Arabidopsis thaliana: one gene and its partner. Each later gene encodes a partner of the first gene's protein in a complex. Each region holds a gene or a part of one and is shown in the gene's direction. Other genes may lie near its edges.

The links. The genes of interacting proteins can lie anywhere in the genome.
Region 2: TAF15 (region 1) and HAF2 share a complex: the UniProt entries of both Arabidopsis thaliana proteins name them as parts of the TFIID complex.

Annotation. Positions count from the first base shown.
Region 1 is NC_003070.9:18,628,033-18,633,837, reverse strand, and holds TAF15 (TBP-associated factor 15), read left to right. Parts: upstream 1-1,798; 5' UTR 1,799-1,959; intron 1,960-2,137; 5' UTR 2,138-2,175; coding exon 2,176-2,280; exon of another isoform or gene 2,281-2,296; intron 2,297-2,390; coding exon 2,391-2,719; intron 2,720-2,835; coding exon 2,836-3,033; intron 3,034-3,628; coding exon 3,629-3,712; intron 3,713-4,088; coding exon 4,089-4,170; intron 4,171-4,283; coding exon 4,284-4,407; intron 4,408-4,823; coding exon 4,824-5,020; 3' UTR 5,021-5,283; downstream 5,284-5,805. Other genes in the region: AT1G50290 (uncharacterized protein), read left to right, coding at 5,576-5,805. UniProt on the Arabidopsis thaliana protein: TAFs are components of the transcription factor IID (TFIID) complex that is essential for mediating regulation of RNA polymerase transcription.
Region 2 is NC_003074.8:6,572,569-6,577,179, reverse strand, and holds the start of HAF2 (histone acetyltransferase of the TAFII250 family 2), read left to right. Parts: upstream 1-1,566; 5' UTR 1,567-1,627; coding exon 1,628-1,661; intron 1,662-1,897; coding exon of another isoform or gene 1,898-1,913; coding exon 1,914-2,138; intron 2,139-2,389; coding exon 2,390-2,481; intron 2,482-2,571; coding exon 2,572-2,746; intron 2,747-3,139; coding exon 3,140-4,250; intron 4,251-4,401; coding exon 4,402-4,604; intron 4,605-4,611. UniProt on the Arabidopsis thaliana protein: TAFs are components of the transcription factor IID (TFIID) complex that is essential for mediating regulation of RNA polymerase transcription. Core scaffold of the TFIID complex.

The DNA of each region.
Region 1 (5,805 bases):
AGAAAACTTGTTCTATTCTTTAGTGAGTTTTTAATCTACTAATTATATATATGAAAGTTAGCCAACTCTCTCCATATGATTGACACATCATCACTTTAACATTTGCCATGTATCCACTGAATAATTAATGTAAGCTCTTCAACTTTTAATTTATAGATTAATGATGTATTTATTATTTAATTTTACATATTTAATTGTACTAATACTAAATTTATTTTGTTATTAAATGTTTTTCAATAAAATAATTTGATTGATTTTCTCATACTCAAAAGATTTTTTTCTGTAATCTTAACTCAAATTATGAGTGTATAGTAGTCATGGATTAATTAATAGTTTGAATAGTTTGCATATTGTTATATATCTATATAATAAATCGCCGAGGGTGAAGAGTATGTAAGAAGTTTAATCATCAAATTCTTAGGTTTCGAGAATCCCAATATTACCTTCTATTTAATTAGTTTAAGACGAACATTGTTTAGGAATTGTGTGTATAATGCATTGTTGAGAATGTTGTTAGAAAAAATATATTTTAATATTAAGAATAATTACTTATTATATAAGTAAATGATTAGATAATTAAAAATTATATTTAAATTAAACGATACAAAAAATTTAAAAATACCGCAGCGTAGCGCGGGTGATTACCTAGTCATAGTAAAATTAGTAGTGACAGATTTTAAAAAATGACAAGCTTATGCTAGTAACTTTACAAAATAGATAGCATTATATAAATATTTTACTGTAGTATGAGTCAATACTTTTTTAATTATTAATTTAGTCAATATATGTTAGATGCAAATGTATTTTTTTTTATTGACCAATACTTTGGTAGTATAATATTAGTAGTATTAGATATTATTGGCTATAAATAGATTCAACATTGAAACACAAATCATATATATGAAAGAAGACTAACTCTCTCCCACAACTTGACACATAAGCACATGAGAGCTTGCCACCTAGACTTCATAAAATAAGTAATACATAATTAGTAATTAATTCAACATAACAACTAAAATAGGAGAATATAATTAATGAGAACTTGAACCATCACTCTTTCTACATTTTTAATTCAATATATCCTCTTTAATTTTGAGATCCACTTAAGTGGCTAAAGTGATGATAAAATCCAAACATGTTACACATATTCCTGGCCTAAAAATTAGACGATTATTATGAAAGAAACTAAATGAATATGCAGATTAAATATATCTAAGCTTTTCGATATTTATGCTAAGAAAACAGGTAATTTGAAAGATATTTGAGGAGCTATCCTTATAACTAATACGTAAGATATAAGATTATGACAAGAACTTAACTAAACTTTCTAAGAATATCGAGTTGAATATGCTTAGATTGAATATGCAAAGACATGATTAATAAAGACATGTTATATTTTTAGTGTAAGAAATAATTTTTCTAAAATTTCACTGTCTCACAATCTATACATATAACTAAAAAAGCAAGGATATATAAATTCAAAAAAAAACTAAGAATCTAAAACAACAATAAAAAACAACTCAAGCACATTCGTTTTTCAGATGAACTAATATAGTTGGACTTTTCAAAAACAATTACAAAACATATTTATGTTTCAAAACCTATGCATTCAACTTTACTTTATATAAACAGACATTATATAAAACAATTAGTAAATAGTAATACGTAAACCCGCACGTAGTGCGGGTACTCATCTAATTTGTAAATTAATAATTCCTCAATTTGCACCCAAAAAAAGAATTCCTTAACCACGAAAAAAATAAAAAAACAAAATTACAATTTAAGGGGGAAAGTTATATGAAATTGCAAATATAACCACCAAACAAACAATCGACTATCGAGGTTACCCTTAAGAAAATCTTTATTCGCAAGATCTCTCTCTCTCTCTCTCACTCGACGCACTTTAGAAAGAAACCCTAGTCCGACGACCTCTCCTTCGCCGCTGAATCCTCATCGCTGGTCAGATTTCTATCTATCTCGCTCTTCTATGTTTCCCTATCTCGTTGGTCAGATTTCGAATCTTCTTTTTGTTCTCATGGTTTTTGAGCTCAAAACTTTGGGGTTTCAATGTCTCGATGTTATTTCTTAGCGAGGTTTCAATGTTGGCTAAGTGAAGTTTTGGTATTGTCATTTACAGATTCTTGGCGGCTTTCTTTTTGATGAAATTGGATTACGATGGCTGGATATCCTACTAATGGATCAGTCTACGTTTCAAATCTCCCCTTAGGAACTGACGAGAATATGTTGGCTGACTATTTTGGGACCATTGGGTTGCTTAAGGTATGGTATTGGCCAGGTACTAATTGTTGCTTTTGTTTTGACGTCATTGCAATCTTTTATAGGTCACTAGATTTTCGAGTTTCTTACATTTTTTTCTACATTGCTTTTAGAGAGACAAACGAACTGGTACTCCTAAGGTATGGCTGTACCGGGATAAAGAAACTGATGAGCCCAAGGGAGATGCTACTGTTACCTATGAGGATCCGCATGCTGCTTTGGCTGCTGTTGAATGGTTCAATAACAAAGATTTTCATGGAAACACCATTGGAGTTTTTATGGCCGAGTCGAAGAATAAAAATGCTGGTGATGCAGTTGAGTTTGTTGAATTCGATGGAGGTGCTGAGGAAACAAATGGAGGTGCTGGAAGGGGGAGGGGTCAGGCTGATTCTTCGGCAAAGCCATGGCAGCAAGATGGTGACTGGATGTGCCCTAATACAAGGTCTGTGATGTGATATCGGTGAGGAGCTTCATCTAGCTCTTGTTTCCGTTAATTTGCTAGTTTTTATATATTTTATAGTTTCTAGCAGTAGTGTTCTCATACTCTTTCATTGGCAGTTGTACAAATGTGAATTTTGCATTCCGTGGGGTTTGTAACCGCTGTGGAACTGCTAGACCAGCTGGTGCATCTGGTGGCAGCATGGGTGCTGGTCGTGGAAGGGGTCGAGGTGGAGGCGCTGATGGTGGGGCCCCGGGGAAGCAGCCCAGTGGTGCTCCTACTGGTCTCTTTGGTCCAAATGATTGGGCTTGTCCAATGTAAGCATTCCGATTAGGTTTGAAATAGTTAGTTCAGTTTCAGAGGATAATGAGCGTTTGGTACTTGATTAAAACACATCGCAAGAAACAATTTATATTCAGTAGCAAAAGAGAACATTCAGATGGCATATAGCGTTGCTGGATATAAAATTAATTTGTCTTATGTATGGAAGGAATATAGCTTGTATATCAATGCTTTTGATGATGTCAGTTGACTCTTTACTTAGAAAGAAGTGATGGCCCGCTCTGCTGTGCTGTGTCTCTTAAACTGGTCCAAATTATGTGTGGAGGCACATATTTTTTCCTTCTTTTTTGAATGTTGATTCTAATTTCGTAATTTTCCTTCAGATGGCTGTTAATCTGAAAAATGTAATTTGAAACGTGGGTAGGTTGTAGTCTTGATCCTTCTAAGAAGTTATATTTGTGAAGATAGGCTGCCTTCAATTTTCTGTGTCTGATACAAAAAATGGACTATGTTTTAGTTTAATTGCAAGTTATGCTATGTGTCATCGAGTAGCTTAACTAAGAGGCTGCACTGTGTGAATGTGAGTTCTTATGCATAATGCACTTTTTCTTTTTGCGCTAATTCTTTCAGGTGTGGCAATGTCAACTGGGCGAAACGTCTAAAATGTAATATCTGCAACACCAATAAACCTGGTCAGAATGAAGGTGGTGTGAGGTATGACTCAAAGCCAGTGATAAGATTGCCTTTGTATTGTTATCTTGCAATGTTCGAGCTGAGGATTTGGATTATAAATGATTTTACAGTGAATGTAGGAGAGGTCGTAGATTTTCTGTTCGATGTTTGTAGTTTTGTTGTCAGCAGGGTATATTTATTCTGCTTTTAGACAGGGCCTAATAGATACCTGGGAAAAAGTCTCAATACTCTCTTCTGCAATTTGAACGAGTGCTTGTTTTCTTCGACAATTGATTTATCCCACTTGTAATGTTTTATTTTGGCCAAATTAGAGTTGCATTAAGAAACATTAAGGTTTGAGTTTGGAAGGTTGTTTTTATCTAGACCAGTGCTTATTCATTTTTTTTTCTCTAAATAGGGGAGGCCGTGGTGGTGGTTACAAGGAATTAGATGAACAAGAATTAGAGGAAACGAAGAGACGCAGGCGTGAGGCTGAAGAAGTAAGATATGCTTTTCCTGAAGAGTTCTTTGTTTTTTGTTTTTTTGTTGCAATTCGGATGAGCTCTCAGTTTTTTGTATATTCCATTTGACTTATACGTCTAATATATTTCAGGATGATGGTGAAATGTATGATGAGTTTGGGAATCTAAAGAAGAAGTACCGTGTTAAAACAAACCAAGCTGACACCAGACCTGCTGTTGCTGCTGGTCGTGCTGGGTGGGAAGTCGAGGAACTAGGTAAGTTCTGTTTAATTTTAACTAATATGAACTAAATCTATGCAATCATCAAATAGGTTGAGCTTATGAACAGAACCTTTCCACTATAATAGAGATTTATTTGGCTCGATCTATATCTACTCTCTGTGTATAGTCTTCAAAGAAAGTTTCTGCTTGTCATCTAGACACTTGAGTGAAACTTAACATATATGCGGGGAGGGATTTGTTTGAAATTTTACATTAAGCTTGCAGCTAACTTGCCTATAGCCCAAGCCTAGTGGGGATCTCCAATAAACAGTGTTGTTCCTTGTTAGAGTTTTCTTCTTTTCACTGAATAGATATAGAGGAAGATAGAAAAGAATGTTTATTGCTGCTTCCCCAAAAATAGAAAGGTCATGATCCAATGTAGTTGTTCATAATTTATATGAATGTGGCAGGTATTGATAAAGATGGAAGAGAGAGAAGCAGAGACAGGCAAAGAGACCGTGGTAGAGATCATCACTACGATAAGGATAGACGCAGAAGCAGAAGCCGAGAGAGGGAAAGAGGCAAGGAGCGTGACTATGACTATGACCATGATCGGGACAGAGACAGAGACTACGGTCGCGAACGTGGAAGCAGGTACCGTAACTGAGAGATTACTCATAAGTGTTAGGGTTTAGTTTCTCATCTGTTTTGTCGACTTACTTTTACAACGGTATCATTACAATGTCTTCGCCTTTTGTTTACTTATTGTGTGAAGTGAAACTCATTTTGGTTTGAATCAATGGCTATTGTTTTTCACTTGTTTTGGTCTGATTATGTTCTGAGAATACTCCATGTTTATCGTTTCGAAAATTGGTAATTATGGCAAAACATGGTTAGCGACGTCAATTGCTAATTTAGACGTGTATTAAGTATTATTTTGTCTTTTGTAGTATTATTTTTAGTTGTCCCTTTGTTTTTTTTTCCATCGCCAATCATTTCATCGCTGTATGATTTTAATGGGAATAAAAAAAATAGAACAAGAAGATTTTTGTGGACAATATAGTTTCTGAAACTATAATAGGATAAGAAAAAATTAAGCTTATTTGTGGGGATATATATTAATGTCATATCATTGTCATAAACATGGTCGGCAAAACTTGGGACGGCAGTTTACCAGAATAATCCGGTCGACAGAATTCAACAGTTCCTCTCTCTAAAAGATATGAAGGAGATTAATTTTGGCTTTGTTAGCAAAGATGGCCGGTCCTCTTCTGGCAAATCCGGCTTTTACAAGCGGTTTTGGCCGGCTTTTATCCTTCCTCCGCCGTTCGATCGGTTGTTCTTACCGATTGCTTTAGTTTCTTTTTCAGTTTTTCTTTCAATAATTTCTAAAGATTTCAATTGGAGATTAATTTTAGGTCATAATAGCCTAAGATTAAGTTTTCGGATTTG
Region 2 (4,611 bases), on another chromosome or scaffold:
AAGTAACGACAATCGCCAGCGACCAGCGACCGCAATTTTTGGTCGCTGAAATTTTTAGCGATCAGTCGCTGATTTCAGCGATTAGTCGCTGGTTTTAGTCGCTGGATCCAACGACATGCAAACGAACAATTTAGCGATCAAAAAATATAAATTAAAGAATAATTAAAAATAATTAAATTAAACAGAATTAAATTAAATTAAACTTAAAATAAATGTCTTTTTGCACTCTGAACGGTTGTGTCTTTTAATCGCAACTTTCCGTAAAAAATATTGATGGTTGTTTTTTCTCGCTTGTGTCTTTTATTGCAACCTTCCTATATTGTAATTTTCTGTCAAAATATTTACAGTTATTTTTTCCGGTTAGTTATATATATACTATTGAATAACTACGAAATTTAGAATATGCATCATTTGGAGTTAGATTTGTTTTAAAGAAATTATTATATAAATAAATTTATAATATTTTTCTCTGCGATATCAAGAAAGGTTTGAGTTCTAGTTTAATTAAAATAATTCTTATTAAATTAAGTTAAAATAAATTAAATTCAAATAACATAAACTAATTATAGTCAAATTAAATTTGATAAAACTAAAATAAATAAATCTATTAATTTATTTTTCTCATGGTGTATGATATATATGATTTACATTTTGATTTTAAAATATAAATTAGTACCAAAAATAATTAATTTTAAAAAAAAATATAGCGACTGTTTATAGCGACAGTCAAACGAACAACACAACGACAATTATTAGCGATTGTTGATGTAATTGGTCGCTGAGTCCAGCGACAGACAATCGAACAATATATGTTGTCGCTGGTTGCTGTCGCTGGTCGTTGGTCGCTGTCGCTGGATCCAGCGACAGGAAAACGAACAGGGCATAGGTTTTGTTTGTTTTATTTAGTATTTCTAACGTAAATTTTAAAAAAGCGCCAAAATCTAGAAGAAGAGTAATATGCGAGAAAATCACTTTTACTCTTATTTATTTACTTGTCTTGCCAAATTTCCATCAAAATTATTAATTACTTAATTATATAATTTTTGACTAATTATTTACTTTATTGGACCCGGGATATGTAACTAAATGGGCTTTTATTGGGCTGTATTCTGTGGACCATTAATAAACATAATCTTTGAAGTGCAAAAAAAAAAATGGGACCCGGGACAACTAAATCAGAATCGGGGCGGGTTATAAACTTTTCCCTATAAATTACCACTCCGATGTTAATACCCGCCTCTTTGATCCCTCAGACGATTTCTTCTTTCCGTTGTATCTTCCAATCACCCGATTGAGCTCCGCTTCACTTCCTCCGGCTAAATGTGTACATACTCTCAATTAGGAAACCGCCAATCCCACATAACGTTGAATGTCGTCGTCTCGGTTAGATATCAACGAGGGTTTTGTTCTTGGTTCCTTACTAAACAACAAAATTTGACGAAAATTGGTACTTGGGTATGAACGTTGTTATTCCCTAATTGTACCGGAAAATTTGATGGTGGTATGTTTCCCTTGTAGGTTTTCGTTGAGTCGTGGATTTGTTCTTGCTCCTGATTCTTTTCAGTAGTTCCTTTGCTATTTGGGAAGCAAAATTGTCACGCCACTCTTTGCATTCGAGGGTTTTATTATGTCTGAGTCCAACGACAACGAGACTTCCGCAGGTTATATTTGCAGTTTCTTACATGGTTTCTTCATTAGTGTATTGCATTCTCCTAGTTTTGCTCTAGTCATAATCTACTTATTGTGGGATAATTTATTGCTCAGCGTTTTGAGTTAATTAAATAGAAGGTTTTTATGTTTGAGATTTTGATATACGCAACAAGTCCCACCCATAGCAGTTACAAACTGAAACTATTTGCCACTACCAATTCCCGGTCATCAGCTTCACTGACTTGTGATGATATGTCGTGTAGATTATGGGAGCAATGATGAAGAGTATGATGGGCCTGAGCTTCAAGTAGTTACTGAGGAAGATCACCTACTACCAAAAAGAGAGTACTTATCAGCTGCATTTGCTTTGAGTGGTTTAAATTCCAGAGCTTCTGTGTTTGACGACGAAGATTATGATGAACAAGGAGGACAAGAGAAGGAACATGTACCAGTTGAGAAATCTTTTGATTCAGAAGAGAGGGAACCAGGTTTGCTTTTGAAATTTCCGTTTCTTGAACAAAACGATTAGCACACTCTATTCTCTACTTTTGTTTTGTCATTTCATTAATCTCAGATTGGTTTAGTTTTCTCAACACTTATACTTGTTTAGCTCGGGAAAATAATCTCTTGTTAAGTTGGAGTCCAGTGCGTCATAAATACTAGAGATCAGAACTCTTGGAACTTTTCTTAGATTCCTTTTGTGTTAGTGATTATGAGACACTAAACATTATTTTCGCAGTTGTCTTGAAGGAGGAAAAGCCCGTAAAGCATGAAAAGGAGGCTAGCATCTTGGGAAATAAGAATCAGATGGACACAGGAGATGTCCAGGAGGTCAGCAAGAATGATTTCGGTGTCTCAGATAACATCTTTTTTTGTTGTGGAATGATTTTGTTCTGTTAGTGATCTCATTGAAACGTTCAGGAGTTGGTGGTTGGATTATCAGAAGCTACTTTGGATGAGAAACGTGTCACCCCGCTGCCTACGTTATATCTTGAAGATGATGGTATGGTCATCTTACAATTCTCTGAGATATTTGCTATACAAGAGCCACAGAAGAAACGGCAGAAGAGAGAAATTAGATGTATCACTTATAGAGGTATGTGATCTGCAACGGCTTCCTAATTTTGTTTATTCTCAAAAGCCTTTGAATTTTTTGTGCTTTCCATTGGGATGTTAAAATCTACAACAACAATGATTTCTCAAGATTTTCAGTATCTCCCGTTCAATTCTAAAAGCCATTAGGTGTCGAAAGCATGAGAAGTTTTTTGTATGTGGCTCTGTCTTTTCTTGGCAAGAATTTAGTAGATATGTATATTTGGTGCTTCTGAAATGATATACATTATTTTCTCTGTTTCTCTCGTTATCTCTCTGCATTGTTCTTTTCTGTTTGTAATTCATCACTTCTTTTAATGTAACTAGAATAGCTGAGAAAGTTCTATGAAAACAATTATCATATGAGACTCTTACATCATAGCCTTCTTTGGTACAGACAAATACATATCTATGGATATTTCTGAGCTTATCGAAGACGATGAGGAGGTACTCCTGAAGAGCCATGGTAGGATTGACACTCATGGGAAAAAAACTGATCAAATTCAGCTGGATGTTCCCTTACCAATCAGAGAGCGTTCACAGCTGGTAAAATCTGGCATAGTAAGGGATACTACATCAGAATCGAGAGAGTTTACCAAGCTAGGAAGGGATTCATGTATCATGGGTGAACTGTTGAAGCAGGACTTAAAAGACGATAATTCATCTCTCTGTCAGTCTCAATTAACAATGGAAGTTTTCCCTCTAGACCAGCAAGAATGGGAACATCTAATACTCTGGGAAATTTCTCCTCAATTTAGTGCTAATTGTTGTGAGGGCTTCAAATCTGGACTTGAGTCAGCAGGTATAATGGTACAGGTGAGGGCTTCAAATTCAGTGACTGAACAAGAAAGCTTAAATGTGATGAACTCTGGAGGGCAAACTCAAGGGGACAATAACAACATGCTCGAGCCTTTTTTTGTAAATCCGTTGGAGTCTTTTGGCTCAAGAGGTTCCCAGTCTACAAATGAGTCCACTAACAAAAGTAGACATCATCCACAACTCCTTAGATTAGAATCTCAGTGGGATGAGGATCATTATAGGGAAAATGGCGATGCTGGACGGGAGAATTTAAAGCAGCTTAATAGTGACGCTCGTGGGCGCTTGAGTGGACTTGCATTGCAAGATAGGGATATGTGGGATGAGTCATGGTTAGATAGCATAATATGGGAGTCAGATAAAGATTTGAGCAGGTCTAAACTAATATTTGATCTTCAAGATGAGCAAATGATCTTTGAAGTTCCGAACAATAAGGAAAGAAAATATCTTCAACTTCATGCTGGATCTAGGATTGTATCTCGATCTTCAAAATCCAAGGACGGATCCTTTCAAGAAGGCTGTGGATCAAATTCTGGGTGGCAATTCAATATTTCTAATGACAAATTCTATATGAATGGGAAAAGCGCTCAGAAACTGCAAGGAAATGCTAAGAAATCTACCGTACACAGTTTGAGAGTTTTCCATTCGGCACCAGCGATTAAATTGCAGACGATGAAGATCAAATTGAGCAAGTAAGTGAGTCATTTGAATTTTTACATCTTATTGTATTTGTACGCTTCATTGTTACATTCGTGTGTGGTCTCAATGTTGCCACTGGATATATTTTTTAAATACATTTTTTTAGTGGTTTATGTTAAAAAGTTTTGATTTAACTCATTGCAGTAAAGAGAGAGCAAATTTTCACCGGCCCAAAGCTCTGTGGTATCCACATGACAATGAGCTAGCCATAAAGCAGCAAAAAATTTTACCCACCCAAGGTTCCATGACAATTGTTGTTAAGAGTCTGGGGGGTAAAGGATCACTGCTAACCGTCGGCAGAGAGGAATCTGTCTCTTCTTTAAAAGCCAAGGCTTCTAGAAAGCTAGGTTGTTT